Linked DNA regions of Mus musculus. The protein of the gene in region 1 interacts with the protein of each later gene in a biochemical or structural test. Links are inferred from orthologs where the notes say so. Each region holds a gene or a part of one and is shown on either strand. Other genes may lie near its edges. The genes, in order: Atf4 and Crebzf.

The links.
Region 2: the proteins of Atf4 (region 1) and Crebzf form a complex in vitro, tested with the Homo sapiens proteins (2 studies listed by IntAct, with this or other methods). The link is inferred for Mus musculus from reciprocal best matches to the Homo sapiens genes ATF4 and CREBZF.

The regions. Positions count from the first base shown.
Region 1 is NC_000081.6:80,253,791-80,258,175, reverse strand, and holds Atf4 (cyclic AMP-dependent transcription factor ATF-4), read right to left. Parts: upstream 2,993-4,385; 5' UTR 2,491-2,992; intron 1,970-2,490; 5' UTR 1,878-1,969; coding exon 1,655-1,877; intron 1,543-1,654; coding exon 716-1,542; 3' UTR 631-715; downstream 1-630. UniProt on the Homo sapiens protein: Transcription factor that binds the cAMP response element (CRE) (consensus: 5'-GTGACGT[AC][AG]-3') and displays two biological functions, as regulator of metabolic and redox processes under normal cellular conditions, and as master transcription factor during integrated stress response (ISR).
Region 2 is NC_000073.6:90,441,230-90,445,708, reverse strand, and holds the start of Crebzf (CREB/ATF bZIP transcription factor), read right to left. Parts: upstream 2,929-4,479; 5' UTR 2,695-2,928; coding exon 1,618-2,694; 3' UTR 1-1,617.

The DNA.
Region 1 (4,385 bases):
GTTTCTACAGCTTCCTCCACTCTTGGCCAGACTACGGGTGGATTCCATAGTTTTAGGAATCCTAGATTAGCAAACCCAATGGACTACATTCATCCCAACAGCTAACATTCAGGTGAGTCTACTGGCATTGGGAAGGCTGAAAGATCCCTCTTAACCCTGCAGGCTTTAACAGTTTCCAGATTTAAGAGGTAAAGATGCAGGTAGCCCAGGACCCTGGAGCTGGAAGCCTAGGTTCCCTTCCCAGCTTCCTGCCTACATTGCTCATTTTCACCTCTGTAGACAGTACCTGCCACTGTTTACTATCACCCCAGCCCTTCCACCAGGTGGAAACAGTCCAGCCATCTGTGTCAGAGGGAATATGAGCTCTATCCCTTAAGCCTGAGAAAAACCTAATCCTCTGTGTGCTCAAGGCGGGTACCTCATCTAGGTACTTACATGGCAGCTATCTGGCACAAAGCCAGTATGAACAGGTGGAATTCAGGCTGTTCCTTTCATTAACCCAGAGCTCCCTCATCTTCACCGTCTCAAACAGCTCAGCTCAGCCCTGGGATATACCCAGGTAGTTATTGTATCTAACCCAGGAACGTCTGCAGTTAAGTCTATTACAAAGAATGACACTGAAAACCCACATAGGTACTTTCACTACAAAATAATTTATTACAGCAAACACAGCAACACAAGACTATGTACAAGCACAAAGCACCTGACTACCCTATTACGGAACTCTCTTCTTCCCCCTTGCCTTACGGACCTCTTCTATCAGGTCTTTCAGATACTGGATCTCCTTGGCCAGAGAATCTGCCTTCTCTTTCAGAGCCTCATTCTTTTTTTCTAGCTCCTTACACTCGCCAGTGAGGGCCTCCTGCTCAGCCCGCTTCTTCTGGCGGTACCTAGTGGCTGCTGTCTTGTTTTGCTCCATCTTTTTCAGCTTCTTATCCAATTTCTCAGTCTTCACTTTAGCTGTCAAACTAACTCCAGGTGGGTCATAAGGTTTGGGCCGAGGAGACCCACGGGAACCACCTGGAGAAGGCAGATTGTCTGGTGGGGCCCTGGAGGTGGAGGGGCTATGCTGGGGAGAGCCCAGGTAGGACTCTGGGCTCATACAGATGCCACTGTCATTGTCAGAGGGAGTGTCTTCCTCCTTTACACATGGAGGGATTAGAGTAATGTAAGCAGCAGAGTCAGGCTTCCTGTCTCCTTCAGAGATATCAACTTCACTGCCTAGCTCTAAACTAAAGGAATGCTCTGGAGTGGAAGACAGAACCCCTGGGGAACAGGGGAAAGGCTGCAAGAATGTAAAGGGGGCAACCTGGTCGACTTTTATTAAACTTTCTGGGAGATGGCCAATTGGGTTCACTGTCTGAGGGGGCTCCTTATTAGTCTCTTGGACTAGAGGGGCAAAAAGATCACATGTGTCATCCAACGTGGTCAAGAGCTCATCTGGCATGGTTTCCAGGTCATCCATTCGAAACAGAGCATCGAAGTCAAACTCTTTCAGATCCATTTTCTCCAACATCCAATCTGTCCCGGAAAAGGCATCCTCTGGGAAAAGAAATTCAGGTGTGAACGGTTCATGTCATATTCGGGAGGCAGAAAGCCATTAGAACACCAGATCCATATGAAAAGGGCACACCAGGACAGCCGTCCTACTCACCCTTGCCGGTGTCTGAGGCACTGGCCAAGCCATCATCCATAGCCGGCCATTCCGAGGAGCCCGCCTTGTCGCTGGAGAACCCATGAGGTTTCAAGTGCTTGGCCACCTCCAGATAGTCATCTAAGAGACCTAGGCTTTCTTCAGCCCCCAAACCCGACTGGTCGAAGGGGGACATCAAGTCCCCCGCCAACACTTCGCTGTTCAGGAAGCTCATCTCGGTCATGTTGTGGGGCTTTGCTGGATTCGAGGAATGTGCTTAACTCGAAGGTATCTTTGTCCGTTACAGCAACACTGCTGCTGGATTTCGTGAAGAGCCTGGATGGGGACCCAAAAGCAAGTCCAGTCATCTTTCTATCTAAGATGCCGGATGGCCAAATCCCAGAAGCGTCTACAGGGAGAGCACGCGGGCCCAAGGCCATTGTGTAAGCCTCCCCGGCCGCCAGCTCGGGTTGCACAAGATGGAGGCTTAGCTTTGCTTCACCGGCCACCCAGAGGAAGCAGCTTGTCCTCGCGTCCTAATACGGCCAAGGCCGCCGCGCCCCGCCCCCGTGACTCACACCCCCGCCCCACCGCCATCTTGGGCATCGCCACGTTCGCAGGATGACACGGGGACCCCGGTGAGCCCGAGATGATTAAGCTAAGACAGGACGAAGGGGCAGCAGTAGCGCTTTAGACACTCCTCCGCCCAGCTCTGCCCGGGAGCGCCGGCGTCGCAGGCAACGCAAACAAGGCCGACGCGTCCGGCCGCTTGTAAAACCGCGTGTGCCGGCCACCGCGCCCGGGCCGCACCCAACCACAGCGAGGCCCCCGCCCTCCGCGGCCGGCCCCATACTCACGCCATGGCTTAGGCCGGTGGGGGTTGCCGCTGCAGAGCCTGGTGCTGCTGCCGCCGCTGCAAAGGCCAACGCTGCCGCAGGCACTGCTGCCTCTAATACGCCATGGTGGCCGCAAGCCCTGCGGGAGGGGAAGAGGAAAGGGACACCCGAGCACACAACTTAAACCGGCAGACAGCAAGCAGAAATGGCGGCGGCACGCCCTAAACCCGCCCTTTATAGCCTCGGCCAGGGACGCAGCACACCGCGTATCCTCCCACTGTGGTCACGTGATCCTACCGCAGCGCCACCAAACCGCCTCTCACTGACGCCCTCGCCCGCCCCAACCCTTCTCCGCTGTGCTCGGGGGGTAACTGTGGCGTTAGAGATCGTCCTAAAGGCCCCATGAGAGAAAAGTGCACTACTTTATAGGTTGACGACCAGCCGCGGTCTGGTTCCGGAGCGCGGAGGGATCGCTCGTTGACGAATTTCCGGTGTCTTACAAGGCGGGGTGGGACACCTAGCCAAAGCTCTGACGGTCAAAGCCGAAGCTGCCAGGTTATCACGCGAGACGCCGTCGGAGCGCGCGTCGAGCTGATTGGCCCAGGCGTGGCGAGTCACCTAAACCTCAAGTTCCTATTGGCTCTGCACCTGGGCGCTCTAGGATCAGGGGTCTGCGTGGAAAGGGAGGAGCCACCAGAGGTTCCGGGCGCCAGACTGTCACACCTGCCATCTCTTGTCAGATGTGATCCATGTGTATTTGCTCTCTCCGGCATCGCTCCGCACCGAGCAAACAGCTTCCAGGCGTGACCTTTGGGCTGGAAGCCATCTTTTCATGTATTTGTTGTTTCCAGAACCGAGTGGGCAGGCTTCAGGCATGTGGAGAGACCCTTCTGAGTTAGCTGGTCCAAACCTTCAGCTTCCTGTCAGTCCTGGGACAGGGACGGCACTTGGAGGCAGGGCGTTCGTGTTGGGGTCTTCTTGGGAGATATTCCGGTTCCTCCAGTTCAGCGATTTCCCCTGAACCGGGGAAACATGCCTAACCTCAGGTCTAACCTCCTATGCCCATCCTCCCATCATAGAGGCCCTCACTGCCGGTTTGTATAGGGTCAGTTCCCTTAAGATCAGGTTTATTCAGTTGGCTCTCAAGCCTTAACTTCCAGGTATCACCTTCCCAAGAAGTCATCCTGATGAGTGAGCCTGCCGCCTAAGTGATCGGGAGCCCCAGGTACTGGTCAAGGCCTCACCATAAAGGATGCTGTTTTGAGAGTGCTGAGAGGCTCTTTCCAACTCCAGCCTGGAAATCTTAAAAAGAGTTTCCACTTCTGTTTAAGTGACTCACACAAATACCACTCAACTGGCACAGTGCCTGCCACTTACTGCTCAGTGATTATTTGCAAGCCTTGTACAACCCAACCCTAGCGCTCGGGTACCATAGTTCAAGGTCGTCCTTGATTATATGATTGATTGCTATTTATTAATTCGAACCTAACTCTCCAGTCCCTATATCCCTAACTCCATCCTCCTTCCTCAGAGGAGCCTTTATTATTGTTTACTGAGACGGAACCAACCATAAAACACGAGGCCTACATAATGAGATGTTTTTATACCCAAAGAAGTCACAAGTGCATGTGCACACATACAGAAGTTACCTAGTCTTTCCATGCAAAAGCAACAAAAGGGTAACTATGTCCTCTCTTTGCTCTGGAAACCAAAACAGCAGCCACACTGCTACATTAAGTGGACATCCCTTACAAGTTTCTGTCCCCTAAGCATAATGTACCCTGCAAACCATGGTTTTTAACCTATGCTGAGTTCCTAACTCTATGATGTATGCCCACCCCTTGCTTTGCTAAACTCCTGAACCTGTGATACATGACTGCCTTTTGCTATACAAAAACGTGCCTCCCCAGAAACCT
Region 2 (4,479 bases), on another chromosome or scaffold:
TTTAGGTCTCAAAATCATATTATCTAGCAACAAAACATTTACAGTTGTGCAAGAACAAGATTCCATTTCCATAACCAAGTAACAAAATAAAACATCTTACGTGTAGGATAACTTACATCTTTGGACTGCTGGAAAATACTTAATTATGAACATTTTAAAAATAAAAGACAGCAGAAGCCCTGATATTACCTCTGTTTCCTTATTTCTTATACTACCTTTTAAAATAAAGCAGGAAATGTGGCCAGCAGCTGGTCCCGTCTCTTCTGCCCCAACAGCTGTATCCACTTTAGCACAAAGAAAAACAAGGATGCTAAATACGTATATCCTTTATCAAACAGTGATGTTTCACAAAGAATTTAATGTCTCTTGCATTTCAGAGCATCAGAACACACACTTAAGACAAGTGGACAAAAAAACAGTATTTTAAGGAAAGACTTTTCCGTCTTTGGAAAAACAGTATCGATCATTTCATTAATTTAAACAAGTATTTTTAAATAGGACAAAAGTTTTAGAAATATGGAGAAAAGATTCTTTGTGAAGCCTCACTTTACATGTTTTCATTCACATTTCACAACCTTCAATATCTAATCATACAGAAATTTAGCCTAAATTTTAATACAACAAAAATAAATACTTTCAACAATTTCTTCATACTCATTGATTAGTAATTACTGTGCTGGTCCTCAAAGAAACATTTCATTTATCGTCTTCTAATTAAAACACAGAAATCTGATGGGTATGTTAATTTCCAACTTCTCAAGTGGTGAACTATTAGGGTCTTTAAATAGACTGTATTTCTGCATTTTCTACTGAAAACTATAAGGCATTCATTAAGTATTTTAGGAGACTTGTCATCTCCAGAAAAATACCACATTTGCGCATGCCTCAATACTTATTGTCAACCTCTGAAAAGTTGCTCTACAATTGGAATTCCAATTTGCACCTTGTACAACTCGGAACTTCCATTCAACTTCACCTGTTTGACTGTCTCCAAACTGTATCTCTATTAGCAGGTTTCTGTGTACAGTTGGAACCGATGTCATCCAAGGCCATGTCCACACTGGGGACAGAAGAGCTAGGTACACGCAACTCTGAACAAGGGGACACATTTAACAGCTATTTCAACCAGAAGCAACTTAAGTACATTAATGACCAGCACAAGTCTGTTTCCAGGGTGGACAAGGCCCAAATTAAGATTCCCCTCCCACCACCTTTCAAAAAGAAAAACAAACAGAAAAAGATATCACACACACACACACATTGAGATGTCTGCCCATTAAAGTAGCCTAAGCAGCCGAGCATGAGCGTTACGGGAAGAGATGGATCCTTACCAGGTTGTGAGGCGGGAACGACTGCTCTGTAACCCCTACAACGGAGCCTGGCAGGAAGGAAATCACCTAAAAAAGAAACTGTCAGAGAGATTTAATAGTCACAGGTTATCATTAGGAGTTGGTTACAGTGTCACATTCATGCTTTTAGCTAAACACTTAAAAGATTTAATATTACTTTTTTTTCCGCCTCTGAAATGCGTCCGGTGACGATGTCCCACTAAGGTGTTTGACATGGTGTAAGGGAGGAGAAAGGGGTAAACGCGGATAAAGAGCAGATTACTTGACCCTACATTTTAAGAGACGACGACGCCTTCCGAGCGCACGCCGAGCAGAACTCCACCGACACCTTATCCTTGTCCACATGGAGACACACTCCTCCCGCCGCGTCGTCCTCTTCCCGCGGCTCCGGCGGCTGCTTCCCCACCGGCAGGGCGTAGTCGTGGTCGCCGGCGGGCGAGTCTCTGAAGAGGGAGGTGGTCAGCCGCAGTCCCACGCCGCTCAGTCGGCTCAGCAGGCGAGCTAGTCCGGTCTCGTTGGCCAGGACGGCCCGTAGGTAGCGACTCTCCTCCTGCAGTGCTTGCACGCGCTTGCCCAGCTCCCGATTCTCGGCCCGCAGCTCCTGGTTCTCGGCTGCCAGTCCCCGGACCCGACTCTCCAGCCCCATCACGTACTCCTTCTTCTTGAGCCGATTAAGACGGGCAGCGGCCGCCGCCGCCTTCCGGGGACTCTTGGTCGCCGCCTGGTTGCCGTCGTTGGCGCCACCGCCTCCTGCTCCCGGGGACTTTCTCCGCCTCTTCTCCCCGCCGCCGCGGTCACCGCCGCTGCTGCAGCCTCCGATGCCGTTCAACAGCCTCTGCAGCAAGTCGGAGAAGCGCTGCATCTCGGCGGCCGCGGTGTCGTCGTCGTCGTCCCCCCTCAACAGGCCGCCGCTCTCCGAGCCTCCGCCGGACGAGGACAGGGGCCCGGGCGAGCTGAGCCCGGGCTCCAGGTGCCAGTCCGGTTGCCGAGGGTCCAGCAGATCGGCCAGCTCCAGCCCGGAGAGAAAGTCCATGTCCTCCGGCTCTTCCTTGGGGACCATGGCGATCGCGTCCTCCTCCTCCTCCTCCATCTTCAGGGGCGAGGGCGCGGGCGCGCGCACGGCCACGCTGCCGCGGCTCCCGCTCCGGGCCTCCGGCTCGCCCCCGTCCCCGTCCCCGTGAGGTTGCTCGCGGTCAGGCGATCCGGGCCTCGGGGTCTCCGCCCCCGCGGCTGCCCCGCTCGGCTCCCGGGGCGGCGCGCGCGTGGCGGGCGGCTCCCGGCTGTCGCGGCGGCTCGGGAAGTCGCGGCCCGAGGCTGCCAGCAGCTTGGTCAGGCTGTGCCTCATGGGGCTGAGCGGCGGGCCCGGGTAGGCCGCAGCCACTCCGACCCCGGGCCCCCAGCGCGCAGAGCCACGGCGCCGGGCCGACCGCAGGCGCGGGGCAAGGTCCGAGTGGCCTCCGGCGGCCGCCCAACCCCCCGCACGAGGCGGGGGGAAGGCAGTGGAAGCGCGAAGCGGCGAGGCCCGGGGGAGGACTCGGCCGCGCCACCCAGACAGCGGCCTGGCCGGAAGTTACTCTCTGCCCACCCCGCCCACAAAAACGCGCTTCGCTCCAGCCAGAGTATCGCGAGATTCCGAGTGCTTTCGAGGTGCAGTAACTTCGGCTTTGCGGTGATGTCATAGGAGCAGCAGGCAAAACACAATAAAACCTAGTTTCCACCCCCCCCCCACTCATCGGTACTACCCGGTACCACTCTCCTCGATCCAATATGACATCTAGACATATTTGACGTAGCTATATTAAAAAAAAACTGTTTTTGTGAACGCTTTTATTTTTGCTGTTTCTCTCTAAACTGCAAGCAAAAAACAGCACGCATAAGGAAATAGTCCCCGTTAAAACAAAAGACTTTAAATCAGAAGTGTTACCAAATTCTGGGGAACGCAGTCACGTACTGACACTAACTCCCCAGGCGACATTCAGAGGTCCTTAGTCTCAGAAAATGATCTTTCATAATACTATTACTGCTATTATTGTCATTATTACATCATTTTTATTTATCATTTGTTTTTGCAATAAGGGTCACTTGCAGAATTAGCTCCTTTGCCAAGAGTGGGTGGTTGGTTTGTTTACTGGTCTCTTGTTTTGCTGTTTGTTTTCTGCTTTTTTTTTCTTTTGTCAAGTCATGGTAGTTACTTAGGCTTTTTCCGTTTTTAAAATACCAGCTTTTTGAAAAGACCAAGTCTTGAACAAAACACTTCACTTTTTATTCAATGAGTTCATGCACATAGCACTGATGTAACGAATTCTTTTAAGCCTCACTACACATTGGGCCAATAGTGCGGGGGGGGGGGGGGGGGGGGGGGGGGGGGGGGGGGGGGGGGGGGGCTTCTGCAACCACCAGGACAAACAAAGTAATGTAATTCAGTTTAACACACTGAGTAGCCAGTGTTGATTCAAACTTCAAGAGTATGATCCCAGAGTTCTTAATTTTAGGCATTTTTTTTAAATCATTTTATTTTATTTTATTTTTTTAGATTTATTTATTATTTATTATATGTAAGTACACTGTAGCTGTCCTCAGACACTCCAGAAGAGGGAGTCAGATCTCATTACGGATGGTTGTGAGCCACCATGTGGTTGCTGGGATTTGAACTCCTGACCTTCGGAAGAGCAGTTGGGTGCTCTTACCCACTGAGCCATCTCACCAGCCCAATTTTAGGCATTTTTAAGCAAAGCACAGTTTGGTGGAAGAGTTTCCTGCTGATAATCGAGAGTATGCAGCAATATGACCTGACCACCATGAAACTCTGTGTAAAAGTATGCATGACATCTTCCATAAAGACAAATGTCTTAATTAGGGTTTCCATTGCTGTGAAGGGACAGCATGACCAAGGCAACTCTTGTTTTGTTTTGTTTTGTTTTGTTTTGTTTTGTTTTGTTTTGTTTTGTTTTTCAAGACAAGGTTTCTCTGTATAGCCCTGGCTGTCCTGAAACTCACTTTGTAGACCAGGCTGGCCTGTCTCTGCCTCCTGAGTGCTGGGATTAAAGGCATGCACCACCACCGCCCAGCTCCAAGGCAACTCTTATAAGGACAACATTTAACTGGGGCTGGCTTACACTTTCAGAGGTTC